2 linked regions of the Caenorhabditis elegans genome follow. The protein of the gene in region 2 purifies or fractionates together with the protein of the main gene of each other region. This does not show direct contact. Each region holds a gene or a part of one and is shown on either strand. Other genes may lie near its edges.

Evidence for each region.
Region 1: the proteins of Y17D7C.6 (region 2) and wht-3 fractionate together in Caenorhabditis elegans (co-fractionation; one large-scale study listed by BioGRID). This does not show direct contact.

Annotation. Positions count from the first base shown.
Region 1 is NC_003281.10:4,146,675-4,153,315, forward strand, and holds wht-3 (ABC transporter ATP-binding protein/permease wht-3), read right to left. Parts: upstream 4,925-6,641; 5' UTR 4,878-4,924; coding exon 4,791-4,877; intron 4,612-4,790; coding exon 4,565-4,611; intron 4,301-4,564; coding exon 4,196-4,300; intron 4,138-4,195; coding exon 3,951-4,137; intron 3,621-3,950; coding exon 3,237-3,620; intron 2,983-3,236; coding exon 2,732-2,982; intron 2,139-2,731; coding exon 1,866-2,138; intron 1,455-1,865; coding exon 1,271-1,454; intron 1,225-1,270; coding exon 1,106-1,224; intron 1,033-1,105; coding exon 966-1,032; intron 921-965; coding exon 780-920; 3' UTR 751-779; downstream 1-750. Other genes in the region: har-1 (Hemiasterlin resistant protein 1), read left to right, coding at 5,383-5,485, 5,538-5,674, 5,787-6,011. UniProt on the Caenorhabditis elegans protein: Required for efficient RNA interference (RNAi) of pop-1 indicating a role in the germline development.
Region 2 is NC_003283.11:18,707,851-18,712,382, reverse strand, and holds Y17D7C.6 (uncharacterized protein), read right to left. Parts: upstream 2,574-4,532; 5' UTR 2,506-2,573; coding exon 2,472-2,505; intron 1,324-2,471; exon of another isoform or gene 1,223-1,323; intron 990-1,222; coding exon 739-989; 3' UTR 527-738; downstream 1-526. Other genes in the region: Y17D7C.1 (Transposase), read right to left, coding at 4,020-4,070, 4,155-4,266, 4,326-4,399.

The sequences.
Region 1 (6,641 bases), on a different chromosome or scaffold from region 2:
GGTTAGAATTTAGTTTTACACGAGCTGCGTAAATCGACACAAGGCCGCTTCGATGCACCATGTTCCACTCTCAACTATTTTCCATCTCAAAACGTTCATTTTCTCTCAACTCCCGGTTTGCAAAGCTGTGTGATTTGTTTTTTTTTTTCATTTTCCACCAAAAATCAATAACCACACTTTTATACCCCCTCCTAATATTCTCATATCTAATACCCCCGGATAGCCACTAGTGATCTCTTTCCATCTCCCACAAAACTAAAGGAAACGTTTTCTTTCAAATGCCAAAAAGTATTTCAAATCTTTTTTTTTTTTGCAATTTCAACTTCAAAAACAAAACAAAATTCGTGTTTTCATCATGTCTTTCTCGCGGGTTCATATGTCGCAACACTTTTTTCAATGTTCTCCATCAGTTTTCCCCTAATATAATGTTTTTTTTTGCAATTTTTCTTTTAAAATCTGATCGTCTAGATGCCTTTTCTTTGTATGTTTTTCTTTTGAAATTTTCTCTCTTCGTATCCCAAAATCACATCACATCCCCTTTTTGACATTCTTTCTATGCACCCACACTAAACAAAAAAATTTCGATAAAAATTTTAAAATTTGATTTTTTGTGTTCAATTTTCAATTTCAAATACAGTACTGATTTTGGTATCGGATTCAGGATAAAAGAGCAAAAAGTGACTTTATCTGCAGCCGACACCTCAGGGGGGGGGGGGTTTCAAACAAATATATATTAAGAGCTACAAAAATGTTCAGCAAACAAGTTCATAATAATAAAATCATCGAGATAATCGAATTCGAATGAAAAGTGCAATATATCCAGCCAAATAGAAAAAGATCACAATTGAGCAGAGTCCAATAACATCCAATTGATAGTTGTCTTTGTTGAATGAGAACTGTTTCAGAATCAATTCTCGATACTGAAAAAGGATTAAAGTGGCATGTGTCACAAAAATAGAACTTACGAAAGGATCCCATTTCGGATTGTCCACTTGAGACCACTGATTCACGACGAGTCCTTCGAATCCATATCTGAAAATTCATTTGTCGTGAGTACGAAGCCGTTCAAAAGCGCATACGCCTAGAAACGGGCAAAATTTCTAACCTACACCAACTAGTCCATTGCATCCACCGAATGTAAACTGGAAAGTTATTCGTATTTCCATATAATCCACTCAACAGTGCAAAAAGGCCTGATGCTGGAACGGCAAAAGCAATTGCCAGCTGAAAAAAAACATGTGTTTTGAAAAATCTGATGTTAAAAATTTACCGAAGTAGTCTCGAATAGACAAGCCAAGAAGAGGCCACACGAAGTGGCAGACTGCTCGACGAGCACAGAAATTAGAATACTTTTAGCCACTTGTTGCCAAGTACTATTCAATCCAATCATCCAATATGATATTACAATCATTAGAGCTCCGTCGATTGTAAATAATGGGAGATATGACAGAAATCTGAAAGTTGAATCAGATTTATCAACTGTGAGATGCTCTTCTTGACAACGCAAAAAACCATTATTTGGGCAGAGCCTAATATTGATTTTTTTAATACTTCGTCTTTAGTTTCGTACAGTCACAAAATGCCTACTATAAGCTCTACCTACTACCAACGTGAATCTTGCTCTATTTTTTTTAACTGAAAAATTGATCCAAACACGGGAATTTGCGTCAAATTGCAGAAATGGGCGGTAGGCAGAAAATAGGCACATAGGCATGCAGTGCTAACCATGGAAGCATTGTTTTTCATATGCTCGGATGTTTTACTACCTATCAGTGCACTCAAAATATTTAGTTTTCAAATAAACGTATAGAAAAACTTCCCATATCGTGTCATGTTTCCGTACTTTTCCACTTTTCTAAACTAACCTCGAAATATAATAACTAATTACATAAAACAATCCATCATGATATTCTCTCGCAATTAATGGAAGTTCATGTTCCATAAATGTCATAATTCCAAACATCGTGGAGAAAGTGAGCTCCGCAATTAGAAAATAAAGAGCACTATTTGTGTTCCGTACTCCTCGAGGATCAAGTGGTTGTTGCCAATAAAGAGATCCGATGAATAAGCCCATCACCACTTTTTGAATTAGTTTCATTCGCATTTGAGCTGGAGAACGGATCACATCGAGGCAAGCTCTGAAAAATAATGTTAGAAGCAAATCAAATTTTTATTGCACCATTGGTTTGCAAAGAAAAGCGTGCATCATCATTTACTATATATAAAGCGCTTATTCTGTGTGTCCATAGTTTGTAGTCTATGTAGTCTTTGTAGTCTGTGAAGTTTTGACTTCTGGAGGGATAGTGAGTTGGGGTTAGTGTAGGGATATAGTCGGGGTACTGTAGTGGTACAATAGTGGTACGGTAGGAATACTGTAGGGTTACGGTAGTTTCATAAAAATTAATTTTCAGCTCTAGAAGTCGGGGGCCGCGCCGAAGGTGCGGACCACAGCTGGTTTTTTATAAAGTGCAATCGTGGTAGGATTTCCAAACAAAATTTTGGCAACTTATAGTATCTCGGGTCATTTTATAGATATCAGAAAATGTTGAACTACAAAACTATAGAAAAATACATGATAAATATTTTGTCAATTGGCAAAATTTCGAAAAATCAAAAACAACTGAGCTATGGGATGTCAAAGTTCAGCAACAGTTTGTGGTTCAAACATGGTGCATTTCGTAGTTTACCATAAAGAAGCGTGCTTTAACTATTATTTTTCCAGATAACCAACCTCTTTAACAATGCTCCAGTTTCGGCAAAAAATCCTGGATTCTCTATATATGGAGGTAGCTCTGTAGTCGCAATCACACGTATTTCCACTATAGATTTCTGATGAATTATCGATTTTTCATAAAATTCAATAATTTTTCCAATTGTTTCTCGACTCTTTGTCTCGTTGTTTGGTATCACTGACAATTTGGATTGTATCCATTCAGGTGGATTGAATAATTTCGGAATTGGATGGCCACAGTCAGCGAAAAACTGGAAAAAAGGTTTATTCGAAAATTTGTAAATTCAAATTATAGTTGGGTATCCGAACAATTCGATTTTCGATTCAAAATTATAGGCAGATGAGGGTCTCCACACGACTGAAACATTTCGGTATGCGCCTTTGAAGAGTACTGTACTTTTTCGCAGATTCCACATTCACTAATATTTTTCTGAATCCTCAGTTTCGGTCGTGCCAAGACCTTTTGGCGTGCGCCTTTAAATAATTTCTTAAATTTCAAAATTACCTTCACGGACTCATGAGGTGTTCCCATAAAAGCGGTTTTTCCCATCGACAAGAAAATAATTTTGTCAAATTGAAAAAAGAGCTCGGCAGTAGGTTGATGGATCAGTGTTCGACCGGAATTCGCGAGATTCTTCAAAATTTGTACAACACTTGCAGCCATAAATGAATCAAGTCCAGACGTTGGCTCATCAGCAAAAAGTAGTGATGGATTGGATAATAGTTCACAGGCAAATGTCAAACGACGGGCTTCACCACCGGAAATTCCTTTTACGAGTCCAGGTGTTCCAATTTTCAAATCTCGACAATTTTGGAGTCTCAGCATTTCAATAATCTCATCCACTCGTTCTCTACGTGTATGTTTATTGGCTTTCATCCGAAGTCTTGCCTGAAATTTTTGGGAGTTTGCGCGTAAAGTTTGATGTATCGAGTAGGCGCTGACGCTTGATCTTCAGAAATCGGGAGTTCTGGAGATCAAACACTGTCTTCTGATTATTACAGTTTTAGGTCTTGAAACGGTCAAAGTATTCTCAAATCAAAACTCCAGAAAAGAATGCGCGCCTCTAAAAGGTTACTGTACTTTTCATTCCGTATAGTATTTTTACTTGAAACTACGGTATTCTTTAAAGGCGCACGTTATTTTAGGTGACATTAATTCAAAAAATGTTATTCGTGCCAAGACCAAATACTGTATTTTCGTGCGAAAAAAAATGCTGACCTGGATCATTAAATATTCATCAACAGTCAATGTTGGAATGAAAATCTCCTGTTGTTGTGCAAAACCAGAAATCAATGAAATCTCCTTCCCGATCTTTGTTCCATTCACTTTCACGGTTCCATTCTTCTCCAATCCCTTCATATTCCTGCACATTAGCACATTCATTAGAGTGGTTTTTCCTGCTCCGCTGAACAAAATTGCTTCATAACTATAACTTCATAACTATAACATAACTAAAGTTTTACCTTGCACCCATTAATGCCACCATTTCTCCTGGCTTTGCTATTCCCGAGACTCTATTTAACAGTTGCTTCTGCTTTTTGGAAAATAGCTTTTTCCGAGTTTTTACCCTGAAATATGAAAATATTAAATTCAAACACCCGCGTATTTCTCAGAACTACGGTGTGCAAGCGGTGTTTGCGTACCGCTGCGGAATGCATCACAGCCTACGCGCAAATCATCATCATTTTTATCATTTCTTTCTCGAATTTTCTTTGTTTTTTGATCTTTGTGTTGAAGATTTGTTTATATTTTACAAAAATTATGACTTAAAAATTAGTAAATTGCTCTGGGCGTGTTATGTGATGTTACTATTCGTCAATTTTCCAACTTACTCGATGTTTTCCCACGTGACTGTGATGGGCGTCACCACTTCCGTCAGCTGAAAAATGTATTTTACTTCGTTGCAGCAATTATGTGTATTTTATATGATTTAAACACATTTCTTCAAAGATATATTTGTTGATTTCAATTTACAAATGCATTTCAGACCGAAAAAATACTAAGAATCTCCTCTTGAGCTAAACTCCACGTTTTCAGCTTTACACAACATAATTTTACCTTTTGGCTGCTTGTATCGATTGATTCGTACCCGGCATTCCATCTTTTTCTTTCCGCTAGTAAATCGAATGGCATTTTTGTAGGCATTTGACAAATAAACTATTTGAATTGATTCAATTTTTAATTAAAAATTATAGAAATGAGTAGATTGTTGATTTTCCAATCTAAATTTTATCATCACGGATACGTAAATTTTGAAAATAGAAAAAATAGTCTTACAACGCTTTTATTACGATTTTTATTTGTTGTAAAATGCATAATACAAACTTTGAAAAGCTTGTATTTATATTTAATGATTCTAATATGATTTCGCTTGATTTAGCTCAATTTTTTGTTTCCCTGTCGTATTTCGCAATCTTATCTCTCATCACATTGAACAGACAAGTGATTTTTGAACTATTTCGTCACTACTCGGACAATATAAATGCTCTTCGAGACTAGTGGAGGCTACAGAGTTCCTGATTTCTGTCATTTTTAACTAAAAAGTTAATTTAGAATGTTTCAATTTATTCGAATATTTTATCTTCTGGCTTTTTTCGTTCACAGTTTTAATTATTTGAAATCTTCATTGAAATTCTATCAATTTCAGAAAATGGTTCGTCGGCGCACTGCTTCCCCATCTCCATCGGCCCCAGTTCGATCGGCTCCACGTCCAGCCGCCCAGTCATCCTTCGCCGCTCCACCACCAAGACCAGGTAAAATTTAAGCCATTATTTTTTTTCAAAAACTCTTAAAATAATATTTCAGCCGCCGCTGCTCCAGCTTATCATCCACCAGCAGCTCCAACTCCAATGGGAGCCCCAATGGGTGCTCCATCTCAGGGACCAGGATTGATGAAGCAAATGGCTGCAACCGCCGGAGGAGTCGCCATTGGATCCGCTGTTGTGAGTAGTTTTATTTAAATATATATATATTCCCCGGATTTCGAAGCTAACCTATTTCCAAGACCATAATTTGGGAAACACTTAATTAAAATATCGAATTCTAAAATTCCAGGGTCACGCCGTCGGAGGAATGTTCACCGGAGGCGGTAGCTCTCATGCCGAGCAAGCTCCAGCTGCTGCTGCTGCTCCAGCCGGTGCTCCACAAGCTTCTGGCTACTCGCAGCCATGCGAATTCGAGTGGAGACAATTTGTGGACTGCGCACAAAACCAATCTGATGTTTCTCTGTGCAACGGATTCAATGATATTTTCAAGCAATGCAAGGCCAGATATGCCTAATCACAGTTCCCCCGTATAGATATTGAATTAAGTGAAAACGTTTAGCATTTGGTGGAAATTGATTATTTCTCTCTGAAAACTCAAATTCTACTTTATGGTTATCGCTTTCAATTTGACTTTTTTCCTTTTTTTTGTCGTATTTAGCTCCCTGAATTCCAAATGTTCCGTAGTTTTGTTCTTTTTCAATTTTCCCCAGTTTTCTGTTCGCAAATAAATTGACTCGTTGTTTTCTTGTTTTCCTCGCAGTCTTTCGCACTGATTTTTGAGGTATTTGCCATGTTGTTTTTATATTTTCTGGTTCATTCGCGATTTTTAAAAAGCAAAAAAACACATCAATGAGCGCGCGGGTCGGCCTCCAAACACTCACTATAAATACTGCAGAAATCGCTTCATTTTATTATTCCTCCGCTCGCTTTTTCTCTTTTCTACTGCAAGATTTTTATCGATGTTTCGTTGCTATGCATTTTTAAACTCCCCGAGATTCAATTTTTAATCTTTCGAGAAAAAATAGAGTTTTCAATAATATACGATAATTTCTTATTAATTTAGAGAAATATTAATTTTTTAAAAAATTTAAATCGATATATTTTGAAAAACTATAGTTTTTTCGCCATATGGTATATTTTCCGT
Region 2 (4,532 bases):
GGTCCACCAGCGGTCTGCTATTTATCTACCAGCGGTCTGCCATCTGTCATTCTGCAAATCAACTGCCGTTTATCTGTTTTTGAATATTTTGCGGTCTGCCAATGAAAATTTTTCCCACCACCCCGCGGACTCGAACCAGCGCACCCTTAACCCTGTTGTTCCTAAACCTAAGCCGTTACCTGTGAAGCCATCCCGCGCACATTCTCATATGAGTTTGCGACGACTTAAATATTGATGCCCTCGCACGAGTTTCGTTAAATGGCCTTAAAACTGATGATGTAAGCTTAAAAATGTATCCGACACTGAACTTGCACCGGATTTGGACGGCAAAACTTGGTTTTTATCACTTTAACGCTGGAAAATATGAGATAACACAAGTTTTGATGGCTGGGCTGTGGGGTAGTCGAGTGGCTGCCTGCTGGGTTCAATCCCACGCAGGGTAAAATATTTTTTGTGATCATTTTTAAATAACTTAATGATTGAGTTTTTGTTTCTCTGCAGTTTGTATAGCTTTTCTAAAAAGTTATTTCATATTTGGGTTCATATTCTGTTTTTTAAAGATGATAAATAGATAAAAAAGGTGAAAATTCTGATTAAATTAAATTAAATTTATCACAATTATTAATTGTGAAAATCAGACACCAAAAATACAAAATTACAAATCAGATCAATGGGGAGCAGAAGTCTGGTATATCAACGTCTCGTCTTTCCACTGCTGGTCCATGCATTTTCAAGAATTCACGCTTCTTGCTCGATCTTGTCGTTTAACACCTTCTCCACAAAAGTTGCTTCGTTTTTGAACTCTTCGTCCGTCTTGTACCTTGCAACAAGTGTTGAGAAATGCCGGTCTCGCAGGATCGTAGGCGGGTAAGCCGTTCTGCACAGCTTGATCAAAGTGTACCCATTATTGTTGCCAGTTGGTAGATTTATTTCCAATTTTTTTAGTGGCTCCACCAGGGAAGTATCGATGTACGACATTTTTACTGGTTCTGAAATTGGAAGAAAATTAATATTTAAATAGAAAAAAAAGATGCTGCCGCGCCAAAACTATTGGTTCTTACTATAACTTACTATAACCTTACTATAACCAAGTCTCTCACTCTCTCGTTTTTCTCTGAATATCGTAAAACACACACTATTCGTCAACGGTCTGTGGCAAGAATTCCTAAAATGGTATTTTTAACACTCTATCACTACTCACATCGCCCCAGGCGTGATGTACCTCTTCATCGGGATCGAACAAAATATCGAAAGCATTCGCTATTCCCGGTAGGTCCATTACGTGATCTGAGCAAACACACAACGAGCACGTGCATCAATCATCTGGAAATAAGACGTTTTGCAAATCTGGGGATTTTGATTTCAAATGTGGAGTAGCTGAATTCGGAAACATCAGAGAAGAAAATCTAGGAAGAATAAAAAAAATTTTAACTTTAACTTGATCATCCTTCAGATTTTCATCTTGTGCGACTCTTAAAGGTGGAGTAGCGCCAGTGGGCATTTTGTCTAAATGCACTTATAATGATCCAAAACAACTGAATATCATAATAAAACACTCCAAAAATTTTTAGATTTTTCATAATTTCCGGTCAAATTTCCGGTCAAAGTTTTTGGCAAATTGCCAAAATTTTGAAAAATATGAGCTTTTGAGGAAATTTAAAGAAATGTCGCATGTTTCGACCCCTACAATGTTCTAATACAAATAATTTAAACAAAATTAAAACATAAAAAATGTAGAAAAAATTTTTTTTTTTTGGTCGACTTCCAAAATTATGAGTGGCAAAAACTGAGTAATTGTCACTTTTTGACAGTAAATAAAAAATTTCCAAAAAATTTTTGAAAAGTTTTCTCATGATATTTGGTCATTTTGGGACCAAAAGAGTGGTTTTTAACAATTTCCCCACTGGCGCTACTCCACCTTTAAAACCCCCAGGGGCGCGGGGCGGGGGGCCTCCTTCCTATGATTCATTCACCTCGGTAACACTTGCATTCATGCAAATCATGTCTTGTTGCTTCTCTTATTTCGGAAAAAACGCCATCTGTTTGCCGTCATCTAAACGGCAGATGTTTCGGAAAAGAAAAGAGTCAAATTCTACTGGGGTTTCGACTACATCTATAGTGTATTGGTAAAGCATCTGTTTATACGAATCGTGTCCTGGGATCGAATCCGGGGTAACAAAAATTATGAAATAGAGTTATGAAATTAATAATAATCATTTGAATTATTACAGTAACCCAATTACGAAATAGTTTCTAAAAAAATCTCTCTAACTTTCTCTAAATCTCTCAAAAACGCACGCTATAACCAAGTCTCTCACTCTCTCATCTTTTCACTAAATCTCTCAAATTGCACGCTACTCATCGACTGTCTGCGGTAAAAATTCCTAAAAATGGTATTTTTAACACTTCTAGAACTCAGTGCAAAAGGCCACTTCTTCTTAATATATTGAAACTTTAAATCTAAAACTTACCATTTCTCAAAAAATCGATACGAAGATTGTCCATAAAATGTTAAAATAATCAGAAAAAATAGAAGAAAGTCACCATACACAACGCGACATTGAAGACAGAATAAAAGGAAATGGCGGCAAATGTGTTGGGAGAGGGTTTCCACCAGACCGGCGCAGATGTCAAGGCAGACGCCCAGCCGGTGCCATTTCTGATTTATTATAATTTTTGGTTGGGTTCTGACGTAACTTTTGAACTGAATAGTTTAACTACTAATATAGTCTCTGAGAAAAAATGTGTGAAAATTAATTATTAAATTAAATTAAAAAATTTTAAAAATTTTAAAATTTTAAAAAATATATTTAAATTTTTGAGGGATTTTTAAATTTCTCATTTTTAAAGGTTTTATCGCTGATTTTTTTAAATTTTAAATGTAGAAACAATCTTTAAAAAATGATGAAAAGCCTGTGCCTGCCTGTGCCTGCCCGTGCCTGCCTGTGCCTGCCTGTGCCTGCATGTGCCTGCCTGTGCCTACCTGTGCCTGCCCTTGCCTGCCTGTGCCTGACATCTTGACTTTATTCAACAAGTACAACTTTAACATCGTCATCAAAATTTTCGACATTAAAAATATCAGAAATTCTAGTTACATTATAAAATGACTTGATGGCACACCTAATTGAGCTGAGCAGTAAAATTATTTCCCCGGCTTCTGGAGGGCTCCTGTGCTCCGTGAGCAACTTGAAACAGTGGTCGCGGTGAGGAGCAAGATCCATGTGATTTTGAAGGTAATTCGCTGAAAATTTTGAATGGTTTCCCAAAATTTTAATATTTTCGAAGCTTATAAAAACTATTTTAAAAATATTTTAAAATGAATCAAAAGTGTACATTATCACAGTTACTATGCATACTTACACGTATGGGCATTAGGTGAGGACCCATGTATTAATATGGCATCTGTACATGTAAATTCAGAATCCCACAAAACATGCTAAAAGGATTAAAAAAACGACATATTTAGAGTTTGTGGGTAGGTGCATTAGTTTTAAATATATTTAAGCGGTTTGAAACTTGTTGAGTACTTTTTTTTAACTGAAAAAAATATTGCTGTGTATATATTTTGCTGTATTTATATATATGTAGCTACCGTATTGTATATATTAGAGTTACACCCCTCTTTTTTTTTAGTGACAGCATCATTCAGTTAATTTCAGTAATATTGAAAAAAATTTTGAACGATTTCAATTTGTGCTTTCTAAACAAAAAAAAGGCCACCTTTAAAGTTTGGTTTTTCAAAAATTAGATATTTATAATCTAATAGTCTTCCTATATGCAAAGGTTTTTTTAAATACAAAAAAATAAGCTTAAAATATAGTTAAGGAATTTCTTATTTAAAACATTTTATTTAAAGCATCAAAAAAAAATACAGTGCTCGGTGATACATTTAAAAAGACAAGAGCTGTGATAAAAATTTAAATTGTTTCAGAATTGTTTACGTTGCTTGATTGTTCCACACTGCAGCATTGATCTCGGCAGGAATGTAGGGATGTTCGTCCTCGAATGTGTGGGGGTATTCAGCAGAATTCACTCGATGAGTTGTCCACACCTAGTCTGTTACAGAGATCCTGAAAAATCTTACTCAACACTAAAAAAATATGCTTTTTTGCAAATAGAACGTGTCTTAAGTTAACTATATTGATATCACACACCTCATGTAGCCCTTGAGAAGGGTAGAAGCGCTGCACCGCCAGTAGCCAGTTGAGTGTCTGCTTATGGTTGATTTGCAACTTTCCTATGGGTTCTCCTACCAGTGTATCCAGCCTGAAAAGCATTAGATTTAAGGAGGAAAATTTTTAGATTAAAAAAACAGAGCAACTCACCTAAGCCAATATGTTATTTTCTTAATATCTGCTCTCGCACGGTCCATGTTCCAACGGATAAATGCATCCAACATAATAGAGACGTGAAGTATTATAGAGGTTTTGATACTGTCCAAAAGACCTGAAAAAATTAATTTTGTAACAATATTTTTTAAAGCAATTTTCTTGTTACTCACAGCTTTAAAGCCCGTCTATGTTTTGTTTGTA